Oryctolagus cuniculus: one gene and its partner. The protein of the gene in region 2 purifies or fractionates together with the protein of the main gene of each other region. This does not show direct contact. Links are inferred from orthologs where the notes say so. Each region holds a gene or a part of one and is shown on either strand. Other genes may lie near its edges.

Region 1 (3,665 bases), on a different chromosome or scaffold from region 2:
CCGGGAAGTGGCACAGAGCCGGGAAGCCGCTGCGGGGCAAGGTGCCAAGAAGCAGCCTCGGGGCGGGCGCCGGGATGCCGCAGGGATAAGAGAAATAGAAGTATAGAAGTAAAATGAGAGAAATAGGAATGCTGGCAGATAGAAGTAAAATAGGAGAAATAGGAATGCCTGGAGATAGAGAAATAGAAAGGCCTCCCCACAACACGGCAATGAGAGAGCTTGGATTCGGTCTGCCTGATTAGTAAGACGATAAGCACCTGTGAGCGGCTGCATGTCACCGAAGACAGGCACGTTATCAACACCAATAAGTCTCCCCACAAGACGGCGATGATAGGGCTTGGATTCGGTTTGCCTGATTGGTAGGGCTTGTAAGCACCTGCAGGCAGTTCTAGCAGAGCAGAGCATGCGCTGCAGGGCACCGAACACAGGCACGCATCAGCGCCTAAAAACCTCACAACATGGCGAAGAGAGGACCCGGATTCGGTTTGCCTGATTGATAGGACTTGTAAGAACCTGTGGGCAACTCCAGCAAGCAGAGCAGAGTGTGTGCCACGGGGCACCGAAGACAGGCGCGTATCAACGCCAAAAAATAAAAAGAAAGGGGGATCTGTGGGGAGCAACTCAGACTAGACTGTTACTGGAATTAAGACTTATTCTATGCATCTGCTCTCCCACAATATGGCGCTGGGAGAGGAGTAAACAGCTTCTACTCAGCTGCCTCCAGTTCAACCAATAAACAGCAGGACCTGCTCCTGATTGGAGGAGAGCAGCATACTCGGCGTGTGGGTAGCAGAGTTGGGATTGGTGGAAGAGGACTATAAAGGAGGAGAGAGACAACATGCACCAGGAACATCTAAGAGGAACACCTGTGCAGCCCCCGAGAGAGCCGGCTGGCGGTGTGCTGCTCCCCCGCGGAAGTGGGGAAAGTGGCAGGGGGAACCGCCCTTCCACGGAGGTGGGAGGGACGGTAGCCAACCTGGGAAGAACCAGCAGCAAACCCGGGGAGGGCCGAGCAGACAAAAGAACAGCGCAGGGTCTAGTGTCGTTCCTCCACGAAGACGGGGAGCGACATAATGGTGCCGTGACTCGGATATGAAGCCTAGGCAGGGTTTAGTGTCGTTCCTCCATGAAGAGGGGGAGCGACAGTAGGCTGAAACAGTAGTAGATTATTTAGAAATAGAATTAATGTTGTGTAGGATTATTAATAATGCTGATATTTTGATACTTAAAATGGAAGAGCACTAAAGATAAATCATTGTATGAGGCAACCTCAAAGTTCATGGAAAGTGGAATTTAAAGAGAAGTATCTGGGTACAAACATGTTTGAAATGCATGTTTTTAAAAATAATACACATAGTTCGATCGGTAGCGGGAGCGGAGAGCGGACCCCAGAGAGCCCTGAGCAGCCCCACCGCCACCGCCGGCCTAGTTACCATCACACCCCGGGAGGAGCCTCAGCTGCCGCAGCCGGCCCCAGTCACCATCACCGCAACTATGAGCAGCGAGGCCGAGACCCAGCAGCCGCCCGCCGCCCCCGCCCTCAGCGCCGTGGAAACCAAGCCCGGCACCACGGGCAGCGGCGCAGGGAGCGGTGGCCTGGGCAGCCTCACATTGGCGGCGCCCGCCGGCGGGGACAAGAAGGTCATCGCAACGAAGGTTTTGGGAACAGTAAAATGGTTCAATGTAAGAAACGGATATGGTTTCATCAACAGGAATGACACCAAGGAAGATGTATTTGTACACCAGACTGCCATAAAGAAGAATAACCCCAGGAAGTACCTTCGCAGTGTAGGAGATGGAGAGACTGTGGAGTTTGATGTTGTTGAAGGAGAAAAGGGTGCGGAGGCAGCAAATGTTACAGGTCCTGGTGGAGTTCCAGTGCAAGGCAGTAAATATGCAGCAGACCGTAACCATTATAGACGCTACCCATGTCGTAGGGGTCCTCCACGCAATTACCAGCAGAATTACCAGAATAGTGAGAGTGGGGAAAAGAATGAGGGATCGGAGAGCGCTCCCGAAGGCCAGGCCCAACAACGCCGGCCCTACCGCAGGCGAAGGTTCCCACCTTACTACATGCGGAGACCCTATGGGCGTCGACCACAGTATTCCAACCCTCCTGTGCAGGGAGAAGTGATGGAAGGTGCTGACAACCAGGGTGCAGGAGAACAAGGTAGACCAGTGAGACAGAATATGTATCGGGGTTATAGACCACGATTCCGCAGAGGTCCTCCTCGCCAAAGACAGCCTAGAGAGGACGGCAATGAAGAAGACAAGGAAAACCAAGGAGATGAGACCCAGGGTCAGCAGCCACCTCAGCGTTGGTACCGCCGCAACTTCAACTACTGACGCAGACGCCCAGATAACCCTAAACCACAAGATGGCAAAGAGACAAAAGCAGCCGATCCACCAGCTGAGAATTCGTCCGCTCCCGAGGCTGAGCAGGGCGGGGCTGAGTAAATGCCGGCTTAACATCTCTACCATCATCCGGTTTAGTCATCCAACAAGAAGAAATGAATATGAAATTCCAGCAATAAGAAATGAACAAAAGATTGGAGCTGAAGACCTTAAGTGCTTGCTTTTTGCCCATTGACCAGATTACTAGAACTATCTGCATTATCTATGCAGCATGGGGTTTTTATTATTTTTACCTAAAGATGTCTCTTTTTGGTAACGACAAACGTGTTTTTTAAAAAAGCCTGGTTTTTCTCAATACACCTTTAAAGGTTTTTAAATTGTTTCATATCTGGTCAAGTTGAGATTTTTAAGAACTTCATTTTTAATTTGTAATAAAAGTTTACAACTTGATTTTTTCAAAAAAGTCAACAAACTGCAAGCACCTGCTAATAAAGGTCTTAAATAAAAAAAAAATAATACACATTATCCATGAACTTTTTGAAGATCCTTTGTACAGAAGCACAGGGTGGTAGTTGAGGGTATGAGTTTGAACCCTTCCTCCCACTCTTGGTAGTGTGATGTTTGTGTCCTTGTTTCAGATTCCCCATTTGTAAAGTTGGAATGATGATAATACATATTTCATTGTGATGTCATGTGTAAGAATTGTGAATAGTAAGTGTATCATAATTATTAGGGATTAAAGAGTAACTTTTCCTCTAAGTTATGCTTGCTAATATGTCAGTTGGGCTATATTTTTCTGCTGCAGTTATTAAAAGGACTTGTGTAGAGCTTTTGTAGGATTTTGAAGAAGGAATAAAGATCCCTCGCAGAGACCTTGAACCTAGAATCAAGCTCACAGTGACCCGGTTTTTGTAGAGTTCTGAGGTCCACTAGTGAGTCAGGATCAACCTAGATTTATGAAATTGCAGCCATGGAGTGTGACACTACTCCCTAAGAACATTTATCTCTGTGTTGAACTTCATACTAGACTAGAATTAAATAGAATAGAAGTAAAATAATAGAGGACAGAAGTGGTTGGCCTTTGTAGGCTGTTATTGTGTATGAACTAAAGAGCGTGATTATTAGTGGTCATTGGATTTGGATAAGCCAGTCTGAGACCATGATACTAAATTTTTTTTTCAAAATAAAATATTTTGATAATTTTGATGTTTAATACATTTTACTCTTGCTTGCCACCGTACAGGCTGGAGGAAAGGTCTTGGGAATTTTGTGCTTTCACATCCTGTGTGACCTTTAAAACTTGGCATTTT
Region 2 (3,819 bases):
TAAGCTGAAATAATTCTCCCCAGTGTTATAATTTACTTGCTGTTAACCACCAGTTTGAATAAACATAAGTATTTTCACATGCACGTATCCTTTTTTCTTATGCAGTGAGCTGCTGTTCAGTTCAAAGGATATCATATTAATACCTTGTCTGCACATTTTCAGTGCTCATCGCTCAGAGATCTAGAACTTGCTTACGAAATACATGGCCTTTTGAACACTGGAGATAACCGGAAATTCCTTGGACCCGATTATCGGCGTAATTTCTATTAGTAAGTGTATGAAATGTATCCCTGTGCTTTCATTAGTAGATTCTACTGTTGTGCCTGAGTGAGTGAGAGGAGCACCACACATGGATAAGATTTGATGGCTATGGAGAGCAAGCAGCTCATGCCCTAACTCTTGACCCTGAGGCTGAAAGCAACAGGGAGACAAAAACCACAGGAAGGGAGGGGGGAATATGTGGTTATAAGGGTCAAGTGGACCTAAGGCCCATATGAAACAAATAACCAATGTCAATTCTTACAATCTTAACATTAATCCAGGTGCAGCCTATCTGTTTTAAGCTTGAGCAATCATGCTAGGGAATTTCTTTGTTCTGCCAGGTGGATGAGTGTAGATCAAAGTTTCAGACCAGAGTTTAATGGTGGGGGATGCTTTCTTAAGATGGAGTCTGGGCCGGCGCTGCGGCTCACTAGGCTAATCCTCCGCCTTGCGGCGCCGGCACACCGGGTTCTAGTCCCGGTCAGAGCACCAGATTCTGTCCCGGTTGCCCTTCTTCCAGGCCAGCTCTCTGCTGTGGCCAGGGAGTGCAGTGGAGGATGGCCCAAGTACTTGGACCCTGCACCCCATGGGAGACCAGGATAAGTACTTGGCTCCTGTCATCGGATCAGCGTGGTGCACCAGCCGCGGTGGCCATTGGAGGGTGAACCAACGGCAAAAGGAAGACCTTTCTCTCTGTCTCTCTCACACTGTCCACTCTGCCTGTCAAAAAAAAAAAAAAAAAAAGATGGAGTCTGGGATGCTCTAAAGTGGAGCGCCTACACTCAAGCTGTTGCTTCACTACAAATGGGAGGGTGTTGGTGTAATCCACATTTCACCTCCAGTTTCAGAGAGCCGACCTGTGATTTAACAGTATGCGTTAATTGAGCATTCTGAAATTACAGCAGTGGTGAGATTGCCAGGTTTGAAAGTCTAGTATCTTTTTCCTCAGCCCTCTTAATATTTGATATTCTTAATTATAGGAGGATGTGTCTTTAAAGGCTTTGTTCCAAAACTGCTTGCTTTGGTAATGGTAAAGACACTGGAGCCCAGAGAGGCTCCTTAAAGTGGGCTTGCTTGTAGGAGGATAAAGCTTGAGCTTAAGGAGTTAGCTGCTCGTGGAAGTGTGAGAATTGTTTCTTCTATGTGAGAAAGTCCTTATTCACACTGAATGCTTTTAATGGGATATGTTCCGTGTCTGCTCACTGGGAGCGGATACTGCTGAGGAGGAAGCAGTCATAATGACTAGTTGATGTTCAAGTGGTATTCATTGTAAAGGTCAGTACCTGATCCCGTGTAGGCCATTGAACTTGATACTGTTTATAAATACTTGAAATTTTCTAACACATCGTCATATAACAGAATTTCAGTAATTATTTTCTTGTTGTTAGACATAGGGATTTTATTTTAAGCATACTTTTTCTCTCCACAGTTCCAAGTTTTTCAGTTTGCTTTGTCTAATGGAACAAATCGATGTCACCTTGAAGTGGTACAAGGACCTGATACCTTCTGTAAGATGATTTGTATATGTCACTTACCATTGTAGATGAACTTTTAACTTTCCTGATTGCTGCTTTAAAAAATAAATTTGTATTTCTCTCATCAGGTTTTCTTTCCCAGCTCTCAGACATTGATAGATCTTCTCCAAGCATTGGATGTGGCCAATCGACTAGAACTGATTCCTCAAATTTGGAAAGGTAAGTAATCAGCTTTGTGTCCAGGCCCATCTCAGTTCAGTGTCCTACCGTTTGATTATTGAACATGTTAACTTTGTTGGGGTGGAAGTTTCCATTTTAAAGTGGAATAGATTAGATCTGCTTCAGTTACTTGCTGATACTGGATAACATGAATAAAACTGAAATAAAAACTAAAGTCAGACCCTTCATGACATAGGAACTAGCTAAGTTCTGCACAGCTGTTATGTGACATGACCCAGAGAAAAACACGGTTAGCCTGAAGTCTGAATGACCTCAGAGCCTCTGTACGAGTGGTGTTTCACTTCGGTCCAGTTGCTAATGAAAGACCCTGATTACTGCATTTCTTAACTAGCAACCATGACTGTGATATGTGTGTTGGTCTGTTGTGTGTGGATGAATTGACTCAAAACTAGGTGATTCTATATTATCAGTCAGCTTTTGTTTCTATTAATCACCCTGCTTGTTTTCTGGAATCTTCGGATAAAGCTAGAATGGCTACCATCAGCAACGTTTTTTACCCACCAAAAACGTTAAGAATTACAGCTAACAGTGATCTGATGTCAGCTAGAAAGGGTATTGGTTTTACTTGATGGTGACGGCTCTCTCGCGTTCCTTTTTCATGTCAAGATAGTAAAGAATATGGTCACACTTTCCGCAAAGAACTGAGAGAAGAGATCTTGGAGCTCATGGCAAGAGATAAGCACCCACCAGAGGTAGGGCTGCAGTGTCACTGTTCTTGTTGATGTGTGCTAACAGTGTATCCTGTAACAGGGAGGCCCTTTTAAGGATAGTTTCCATGGTTTCTTCTATCATTATGGAGAGCTCTGCCATCCAAACCCAAGTGTACATTCTGGTGCACCTAAACGAACCTGCTGTCACTGTCACTGCTCCAGTCCAAGCAGGCAGCATGGAAACTGCTGCTCTGCTCTGACATGAATAGCAGCTTGCTTCTTAACACTTTCCATCTGAAAGGAAGGCGCATGGTTGAAGTTGAAAGGTGTGGGTAATCGAGTTGTTTATCCCACAAGAGAGTCTGCTTTGTCTTTCTGCTTGCTTACTTGTGTGGCATGTTACAATGGATTGCTCAGAATTTTATGGCCCTCTGGTAATCTCCTGAATGTAAATCCTCTCACAGCACTTAAGGCAGTTCTGCTGACTCTCAGAGACTCTCAGCTTCAGGTGGCGTTTGCTGATTGTGCCGCGGATATCAAATCCACGTATGAAAGCCAGGATGCCAGACAGACTGCTCCCAATTGGCCAGCCAGTCCTCTCAACTGTATAGCTATTCTGTATTTAAGGGCTGGAAGAACTCAGGAAGCCTGGTGAGTATACAGTGTACATTAGAAGCATCTGTGTTTGCATGTAAAACATATACCCAGGACAGTGAGAAGAGGTTCTCTAGTTTGGAGGGGAAGTTAGGTATATCAACAGCCATTCTCAAATGTATGAGGATTGTTTTATTTAATAAATTAAAGGTAGAGAGCAACAGAGAGGGAGAGAGCACTTTCATCTGCTGGTCACTCCCCAAGGAGCAGAACAGTCAACTCTGGGCCAGGCCAAAGCCAGGAGCAAGGAATTCTAAAAGGTCTTCTGAATGGGTGGCAGGGGCACAGGCCATCATCTGCGGCCTTCTCAGGCACATTAGCAGGAATCTAGATCGGAAGTGGAGCAGCTGGGACTTGAACCGGCATCCATATGGGATGACAGCCCTGTAGGCGGCAGCTTTACCCGCTACACCACAGCGCTGGCCCAAGGGTATAGTTTTGAAGGACTGAGACTTTGCATTTCTGTCCTTTCAGCTTAGTGTATCCGTAGGCAAGTCAGGCTGTCAGCCTCATTTTCCAGGCTACTTAAATGGAACAGA

What was found.
Region 1: the proteins of PTCD3 (region 2) and Y-box-binding protein 1 purify together in Homo sapiens (co-immunoprecipitation; 4 studies listed by BioGRID and IntAct, with this or other methods). This does not show direct contact. The link is inferred for Oryctolagus cuniculus from reciprocal best matches to the Homo sapiens genes PTCD3 and YBX1.

What each region holds. Positions count from the first base shown.
Region 1 is NC_091434.1:59,356,706-59,360,370, reverse strand, and holds Y-box-binding protein 1, read left to right. Parts: upstream 1-1,317; 5' UTR 1,318-1,332; coding exon 1,333-2,346; 3' UTR 2,347-2,868; downstream 2,869-3,665. UniProt on the Homo sapiens protein: DNA- and RNA-binding protein involved in various processes, such as translational repression, RNA stabilization, mRNA splicing, DNA repair and transcription regulation.
Region 2 is NC_091433.1:116,615,240-116,619,058, reverse strand, and holds part of PTCD3 (small ribosomal subunit protein mS39), read left to right. Parts: intron 1-162; coding exon 163-269; intron 270-1,690; coding exon 1,691-1,769; intron 1,770-1,864; coding exon 1,865-1,955; intron 1,956-2,582; coding exon 2,583-2,668; intron 2,669-3,090; coding exon of another isoform or gene 3,091-3,128; coding exon 3,129-3,277; intron 3,278-3,819. UniProt on the Homo sapiens protein: Mitochondrial RNA-binding protein that has a role in mitochondrial translation.